Linked DNA regions of Caenorhabditis elegans. The protein of the gene in region 1 interacts with the protein of each later gene in a biochemical or structural test. Each region holds a gene or a part of one and is shown on either strand. Other genes may lie near its edges.

Region 1 (6,344 bases):
TCAATTCATGTGCTCTTTCGCAAAGTGCTCCTAAGCCTTCTACTCTCGCTTTCACTCGTCCACAATGGCGGTCAACTCGGTCGATGGAAGCAGGCCACACACACACACACACACTCACACATACAACCGCCTTCTGCTAGCCCGTTGCAATTTATTGCGTTCATCCGTTTTTCTTCCCATTTTTTTGAATCAAACATCAAATAGGCCAACCAATGAAAAGGGACGGTAAAAATTCACTGCTTTATGAGCTAATATATTTTATCACCCCGTTTGTTTTGCGCACCGCGCCAAAGAATGAGTCGCACAATTTAATGATAGGCATTCAATTTTTGGCTACGTTTACAATACCGTATATCGCATACTTTTATGCAGATAATTTCATAAAGTAAAGCAAATCATTGAAATTCTCCATGCCATGTTGAAAATAGCTTTGAGCAAACTAGTAGGAGAAAGTAGGAAAACGTACTATGTTGCGAAAATAATTAATCTTAACTATTTTTATCTTGATTAGTTTGATCAAAAACGTATATGTTGTACACTAAAAGAAGCTACTTAGTTTCATATGTTAGACCAAAAAAGCGGTGTACTTTTTTCAATTTCACACACGTGTTGTTTCAAATTGTTTTATTTTTGATTCAAAAGAACCTAGCAAATTTCAGTTTTATTGTCTAATTAATGTTCAAAAGTAGATTTGTGAATGTATTGCAATGACAACATGACATATACATTAAATATTGGGCAGGCCACATCTTATTAGTCCCTTCACTCTTTCTTCTCACGAGCTTAGTTATTTACTCGACTGGAGCCAAATAGATTGCGTGTTCGGCCGTGTTGCGTTCTTTTCACACGTGGCTAGTCTCAATATATCTAACCAACAAGCAAGCAGAGAAGCAACGTCTCGTTCTTTATTTTTCCTCGAGCGCCGTTCCTCGTTTGATATTTATTTACGTGCGTGTGCACAACGCACAGCCATCTATAGCTAGTCAGTGTATGCCCCGTCAACAACAAAAACAAAACGAAAAAAAAACCACGCTATCTTTTCTACCTCCTCGTTTGACGTCGTTCGTCCATACTTCATTCATTGACATCGTGGGATGGGCAGTAAACAAAACTACTGTAAATGCTAGTTTACTATTTTGTTGTATTTTGTATTCTAGTTGTGTTTCTTTTCTAAAATTAACCCTAGACAAAAATGAAATGGCAGCTGGATTAACCAATAATACTGTGAATGCATAGATAATGCCAAAGTTCATGAAAAGGGCAGATATATGTACTTTAAGTTATGTAAAGATCCGGGAATGTCTACAAATGTGCACGTACTCTCTATTAATAGTTTGATGGGATTCTAAATTTGAGATTTAATCAAACTAAAATGTTTGCTTTTTCGATCTGCTTTTATCACTTCAACTCAAGCTTTAAAAAATTATTCAGAGCCTGGCAATGTTCTCACCTACGCATCGTGTTTCCTGCTTATCTCCTCATGATTAACTTGATTCAATAAATGGATTTGACCTGGTTTATACATGTGTATTTGAGTAAACTTAAACCCTTATTTTAGATTGGCACCTTTTCAGTTACATCTTAATTATCTACGTCATTATCATTGAAGTGCCTAACTAGAACTTCGGCTTTCTCACGTGCCTAATTAAATTCTTACAAATTTTTTGTCCGAACTGTTTTCTTTTTTTTTCAATAATCGCTTCTTGGATCTACCTACCCACCTATAAACTCATATTTACAGTTTGTTCCCCAGCATTTACCATCGTATGCAAGGGAAAAATTCACACTTGACTGGAATAACTGGAACTACACATTGTGAGTTACTTTGCATTTTTGCTATAGTGACCAGTTGGCGACCAAAAGTCGAACTGAAAAGATTAGTGCATTCATGCGAAAGTTCTACATAAGATTCAATTACATTAGTCATATTTTAATACGGATATGACTTTGATATTTAAAGATTAACAAGCAAGGTATCTAATTAATTAAGCACGAGTGCACGTTTCCGCAAATTTATACACCTAAAAACGCGGGCAGCATTCCTCTTTTCAATTTTTGCTACCTCATCTTATACTACTTATGTTTAGTTACTATTTTCGGAGCAAGCCCAAGAAGTATGTCATTGGTTAAAAACTCACAGGAAACTCCACCATTTCCCGGAATGAACTCCACCATGAGGCCAGTAGAATTCAACTCGACCAAGCAACCGGAAGCTCAGACTATTGATCAAGAGCAAGATGCTCCTAAAAGCTTTGATTTTAAAAATCAAACCCTTGGCGTGTATTCTGATACTGTGTTGAATCCACTCAAAAACGATAGTTTCAAGGATGAGCTGGTTGTAGATGTTCAGAAAAATCTTCCCATTGAATCGTTGACAGTATCTCCAAAGAGTTCTACTGACCAGAATTGCAGATCTACCAACGAGGCTATACGAATTGCAGGATTTGATAACTTTGCTGATCAGCTCCAAGAATCCAATGGCGTTTTCGAAGCATGCCCAGAGGCCCATTCAGAACAAGGAAATGAGAGTGAAGATTTTAAAGATTTGATCAATAGTGAAACTGAGTGCAACATTGAAGACGTTGTTCTCCCGACAGTACACGTTTCTACGGATTCTGAAGAAATCATTTCGGGCGATGTGATTATGAATGGTTAGTAGATTGTTTAAGTATAAAATATTTTTTTCATTCTTTGATGTAACTATGATTTTGATAGCTTTTGAAAAATTGAAACAAAATACATAGTTAAACTAATTTGGAAACATTCTAATACTTACTGGGAACATTTACAGACAGCAATGTAGTTTCAAAACCAAAAAATTTGGAAAAAGTCGAAACGCCTGATGTTCTCATTGGCAGTGGTTCAAACGACAAGCTCTCTGATATGACTGAACAAATTGGCAACAATCAGCATCTTGAAAAACTGATCTCGGAGAAAACTGAGAAATCACTCAGTGACAATGGTGAGAGCAACAGTTACCAGTTATTAATTTCTGAACGATAATATTTTTTTCAGAAACGACGTTGAAACCTGTGCCTGTGCAGCATACCAACAGTGTCGGAAGTTCGATTGGGACAACTTCTGGAGATTCAGAAATTTCTGACGATGACCAAAAATCATGGAGTCCTAAAAACGAATCGCTTGATTATCAACCTGCTTCTACTTCAAGCGAATTTACAGAAACAACCTCTGTGGCTAATCAAACGGAATCTAATGCAGGAAGTGTAGATGATTATTGCCCCCGCACGTCGATTGACATTGGATTGGACTCTTCCGCTCCTTCATGCTCTTCTGATGCAACAAGGGAGCCTACACCAATAAAAAAGCGTGGTCGAAAGAAGAAGGAACAATCTGCAACCGAACCCCCTATACCCAGGACGAAAAGAGCATATACTAAAAACCCAAATACGGTAAATTTCATAACTAATCTATTCTCAGTTTAATGCATAATTTACAGATCCGAAAACGCCGCATGAAAAAGAACCAATCTGACGATGAGGAAGATGATGGACCACCAAAAAGACGGACGATTAATTATCAAATTGAATTTCGTGATGCTTCTGGGGCTTGGACTATGGCTCAGCAGTTGATATTTGTTCGTGACTTCATGTCTAAAAAGAATGATAAAATAGTAAAACTGTCGAAATCAAGGCAAGACAGAGTTGACAAATTCATTCTTCAATTTCAAGTCAGTCCGCATTGAAAATTATTGTTAAAAAACCAAAAACTAATATTTCAGAAAACCCAAGATTCTCACTACATGCGTGCTGCCATTCAGCTGAATACAATTTTCCCGGATCAAGGAAACTATCGACATTGTCAGGATTATTTGAAAGATCTTACCATTCGTGTAGTAGTACCGCCAAAGCGAAGAGAAGGAAAACGAAAAAGTGAAGTTCCTGCCAATCCACCAGCCCTTTTGCTAACTGGACCATTATATCTCAACTTCTATTGTACATCACAAGAAGTCCTCGAAGCGGCAGGTCAATTACTCGAATTTCATGTCAACGCCGTTTACAAAGATGAACGACTACAGCCTCCGGTTGCCGATAAGACACTTTTGGATCTGGAAAGAGCGATGTATCACGAGCAAGTCAAAGATCTTACTGACTATCACAAATACCGCATACCATGTCCAACTCTCACAGTCACCACCAAAGAAGAAGTATTCTCGTCGGATTTTGAGCGCATTTTGAACTCAGCGAGCATCACCAACATTAGCGGAATCGCAAAGGCTCTGAACATCAAGACTGAACTGTTTTCACTGCCAGAAATTGCAAAGTGTCATCCTGAATTATCCATTGATATTCTTAACCAAGTACCACAAAGTGCCGATGGAAACTGTGATAGTAAAGGAATTCGTTGTTGGGATGTTACATCGTACTCTTCTAAGATGAAGCTGCAAGATTTCGAGAGGTACATGCAGAAGGAGGAGTCTGAAGCAATGCAAGGTAATATTGACTTTTGAACATAAGATTTTTAATCTTTGTTTTTAAGCTTTCGAAACGATTTCAAACTGCACAGCAAAAGAATTAGAGAGCACATGCCAGAAATTGAAAGCTGAGAGAATTGCAGCTCAAAACGCAATTGAGGGCTGTGATGAAACAATGCCTTGGATCAAGTTTGGAACAAATATCGACTTGCTTTCCGAAAATTTCAAGAAGCAGATGAATGTTAGTGATATTCTACATTTTTCAAAATAATTTATCTAATTCTCTATGTTCTTACAGGAAATCGAAAAGCTGCCGACGTTCCTGCTACCAAACCGTGAAGGAAACTTGCTCAACTACGCAGGAGTAGACGTTCTCGGCATCAATACTGTACAGATGTACGCGAAACCAATCGGATCACGCACTCCAGCACACATGGAAAACTCACTCATGGCTAGCATCAACTGGAACCGCGGTCCGGGAACGTGCGTCTGGTTTGCTGTGCCGTACGAGTATTGGGGGCAGCTGGAGTTTATGATTGGAGAGCACGGGCACAAGTACCAGGATCAAGACTATTGGCCAAGCGAAAAGGAATTACTGGAGCTGGGAGTTCCTGTAATTAAATTCGAGCAAAAAGCTGACGAGATGGTATATGTCAATACTGGATGTTTCCATTGGGTGCAGAGCAATAGCTTCTGCATCAATGTATCTTGGAATGTCGGACAGCCAAACTTCACTCAGCTGGCTACCTCAATAGTGGCTCACGATCACAATATGCTCATTGGGAACCAGGCGCATGTTCCATTGGTAAATCTCGTTTGGAATGCTGCACGTCAGAGGCTTTTCGTCGACGATCCCGAGATGTATAAAGCCATGCGCGGTGTCATGATCAGGTTAGTACATATGATAATAAAAATTTGCTATTTTCTAAACAATGCTCAATCTAATTTCAGATCACTTGCCCATTCAAAGTGGTACTTTGATCTTATTGATCATCATGACTACATTGTTGGAGACGCTAGCGAATGGAAGCTTGCTGATCGCGTTCAACGATGTAAATACTGTACATCTGAAATCTTCAACATTGTCAGATGGTACACCACAGAGGACTTATCAGTAGATTCGTACCCCTTCTGCTCTCATTGTCATGTAGCGTGAGTTTTATTCAGGATCAATGAATCATCAATGAACAGTGTGTTTTACAGAAACGAATACAAAAAGGACAGGTTCCTCAAGTACACATGGTTCTTTTCATTAGAAACATTGGTTAATATTTTTGATGCCTACGTTCCTAATTAAATATTTATCCAACAATGGTGCCTTCTAATATGTTTTCTAGGATTTTTCCTCAAATTTTAACGTTCTTTTATGATGTTCTATTAGTTTTTTACAGCGTTTAAATGCTGTTTTTCTGTATTTTTTTTCAATTTTCATTTTTAGCATTTGTTTTCCCGAAATCAACTTTCAAAATTTCCAACTCAAGCCTTTCTATCTCAATTACATCCCTAATTTCTTTCGAAGAAAAACGTACCTCGCCCCTTAATTATGATTCTTTCCATCAAATGGTCCCTGACTTCTCACGTTTATCCATCACACTCCTCGCTCTCGCTATCTCTGCAATTATCGGTGTATTTTATCAAAGAATGTTATTCAAAGAATGTTAAAAATATTGAAAATTAAATCATTTACTATATATAAAGCGCGTGTCCTTCTGTCCCTATGTAGTTTGATCTTTGATCTTTGGTCTTTGAACTCTGTAGTTTGTAGTCTCAATCACCTAAGAGGGGTCCTATAGCCCCGCCCCTTTTGTGACGTCATCACAAATTGGCGGGAAATTCAAATTTTCTGAGAAATCATTTTGGCGGGAATTTAAAATTTTAATTTTTTGAAAATATTTTGGCGGGAATTCAAAAT
Region 2 (2,860 bases), on another chromosome or scaffold:
CCAACTTTCCCATTGATTTCCAAGTGACTAATAGGCTTCAAATACTCCTGAAATTTCTGGGTTTGTTCAAACTTTTTCGAGTTTTCCAGAACATTCTCAATGGTTCTAAACATTTGTAGAGTTGACCAGAAGAAATTTCTAAAGATCTTTTAAAGATCCTAGCTAACTTTAGCAAATTCTTGAATGTTTCCAAACTTTCAAAAATGCTCCATTAATATAGGATTCTCTATTTTCAGAAATTTTCAGAAATTTCTCAGTGTTTTCAGAAGTTTGTATTACATTTTGAAGAGTTAAGGAAATTTTCAGAAATCAAAGAACTCGAAAGAACAAATCTGTCCCATTTTTGATAGCTCGATCGAACCCAAAAATTTGAACGGGTTTTTAAATACACATAGGATCACTTGAAATATCCAGAATCGCGATTGTGAATTTCCAGTGATGTACGAAGTAGGTTTCCGGAATTTTAAAAGTACAATGCTGCAAAGTTTAGAATGTATTTATATTTTTAAATATTCTTATTCTAACAACTGCACTTCTTTACGTCCCCATAGTTATAAAAATCTGGAAGCTTGATCATCGCACAAGTAGACAAGGTTTTAGGCAAACAGTTACAGTATTCGCGTTCAAGATTGCATGTTATATGTCAAACCCACTTTATATGAAACATTTACATTCAGATTATCATTCCAATTTTGTTAGTCAATTTTCTCTGGAGTAAAAACACACACAAGGGTGCAATTTTACGACTCTTTGAAAAACTAGGTGTTTTTATGAAACAAATTAATATTAAAATTATCTCCATAAAATAAAAATAAACAAACATTATTAAAAACAAAAAAATATTAAAAATTAAATTAAAAATTAATTTTAAAAACTATCCTCATATTCGTAAAAACTTTATTTCAGTTTAAAAACAGAAGAAAAATTGGATTTTTAAAAATGTGGCCCTAAAGAGGGCCGTTGGGTTCGGTTAGATTGCTTTCAGCAATTGAATGCTTACTTGCTGGAGGTGTACTTGGTGACAGCCTTGGTTCCCTCAGAGACGGCGTGCTTGGCAAGCTCTCCTGGCAGAATCAAACGGACGGCAGTTTGAATTTCGCGAGAAGAGATGGTGGATCTCTTGTTGTAGTGAGCAAGACGAGATGCCTCAGCAGCGATACGCTCGAAGACGTCGTTGACGAAAGAGTTCATGATAGACATAGCCTTGGAAGAGACTCCAGTGTCTGGATGAACCTGCTTGAGTACACGGTAGATGTACACAGAGTAGGATTCTTTACGGGCATGACGTCTCTTCTTTCCGTCCTTTGGCTTGGTGACGGTCTTGGCGGCTTTCTTTGCTCCTTTAGCAGACGGCTTTGGTGGGGCCATTTCGATTGATTGGACTGGTCGTTGGACAAGTGTAAAGAATGGGTTGATGGCCATTTCCTTTATAATAATTCATCGGTGGGAAGGAGGAGCCTATGGACATACTGCGGGGACACATTTCTATGTAGTCTCCCCAGCCGAATACGCAGAGTGCACAGTTTTTCTCGGTCACTCTGCCACCTCCTCCACCTGCCTTGTGTCTATGTGCCCGCCTAGTCACCGCAGTTGTGTTTAAAAGAGTGTGGTCTAATGGTCTCCTTCAGATCGTTTTTACATCTACCAACCAATCATCACCATGTCTGGACGCGGAAAGGGAGGCAAAGCCAAGACCGGAGGAAAGGCCAAGTCCCGCTCATCAAGAGCCGGACTCCAATTCCCAGTTGGTCGTCTTCACCGTATTCTCCGTAAAGGAAACTACGCTCAACGTGTTGGAGCCGGAGCCCCAGTTTACCTGGCTGCCGTTCTTGAGTACCTCGCTGCTGAGGTTCTCGAGTTGGCTGGAAACGCTGCCCGTGATAACAAGAAGACCAGAATTGCCCCAAGACATCTCCAACTGGCCGTCCGTAACGATGAGGAGTTGAACAAACTGTTGGCTGGAGTAACCATCGCCCAAGGAGGAGTTCTTCCAAATATCCAAGCTGTTCTTTTGCCGAAGAAAACCGGAGGAGACAAGGAATAGATGCCTTCTTAAAACATTTTACCGAACCCAACGGCCCTCTTTAGGGCCACAAATATTTAAAATCCTCTATTGAACATGAATAAAAATTATTTTTATCAATGGTTTTTGCACGTACTTTATTATAAATTGAAAATCGTTTGCAAAGAAGAAACTTCTTTTTGGATTTGGTTGATTCACAAAACGATTCGTAATTATTTTCTTCTGTCTTACAAATGTTAATTAAAATTGGACGAGGTCATTCCAAATTCAAATAAATTGGCGCCAAATTCAAAGTTGTCATTGAATGTGACCTTGTTGAACAATATGATTTTAGAGAGGTTTTCCTGGTTGAGTATTTGAATACACGTGGTTGCAAATTCCTTAGAAACAAAGATATAGTGACGTCACAATACCTACAATTGTTTGGACCTGGATCTGACTCAGATAGGCAATTGATGACGTCATTAATGACACTTTCTGTGAGGACAGTAAAACATTTTGATATTATAAAAATATACTAAATTGTATGGCTCTAAAGTTTCCTGGTTTTGTTCTTTTTTTTTAATAAGTTAAAAAATAATGAATAATTTATTCAAATTGGATTGAAAATGATTGGATCATATGTATGTGGCCCTAAAGAGGGCCGTTGGGTTCGGTGGGGTTTGAATTGAAACGGTCTCAAACTTTCTGAAAATCAGAAATTTAAGCACGTTCTCCTCGGATACGTCTGGCCAATTGGATGTCCTTTGGCATGATGGTGACTCGCTTGGCGTGGATTGCGCACAAGTTGGTGTCCTCGAAGAGTCCGACGAGGTAAGCCTCGGCAGCCTCTTGAAG

The links.
Region 2: of the proteins of jmjd-3.1 (region 1) and his-3, one has a biochemical effect on the other in vitro, tested with the Caenorhabditis elegans proteins (one study listed by BioGRID).

Annotation. Positions count from the first base shown.
Region 1 is NC_003284.9:8,569,308-8,575,651, forward strand, and holds jmjd-3.1 (Lysine-specific demethylase jmjd-3.1), read left to right. Parts: upstream 1-1,741; 5' UTR 1,742-1,766; coding exon 1,767-1,815; intron 1,816-2,087; coding exon 2,088-2,651; intron 2,652-2,791; coding exon 2,792-2,962; intron 2,963-3,015; coding exon 3,016-3,410; intron 3,411-3,457; coding exon 3,458-3,688; intron 3,689-3,739; coding exon 3,740-4,451; intron 4,452-4,497; coding exon 4,498-4,673; intron 4,674-4,730; coding exon 4,731-5,323; intron 5,324-5,383; coding exon 5,384-5,584; intron 5,585-5,635; coding exon 5,636-5,729; downstream 5,730-6,344. UniProt on the Caenorhabditis elegans protein: Histone demethylase that specifically demethylates trimethylated 'Lys-27' of histone H3, a mark associated with transcriptional repression, thereby playing a central role in the histone code.
Region 2 is NC_003283.11:16,039,148-16,042,007, forward strand, and holds his-3 (Histone H2A), read left to right. Parts: upstream 1-1,660; coding exon 1,661-2,044; downstream 2,045-2,860. Other genes in the region: his-4 (Histone H2B 2), read right to left, coding at 997-1,368; his-2 (Histone H3), read right to left, coding at 2,726-2,860. UniProt on the Caenorhabditis elegans protein: Core component of nucleosome. Nucleosomes wrap and compact DNA into chromatin, limiting DNA accessibility to the cellular machineries which require DNA as a template.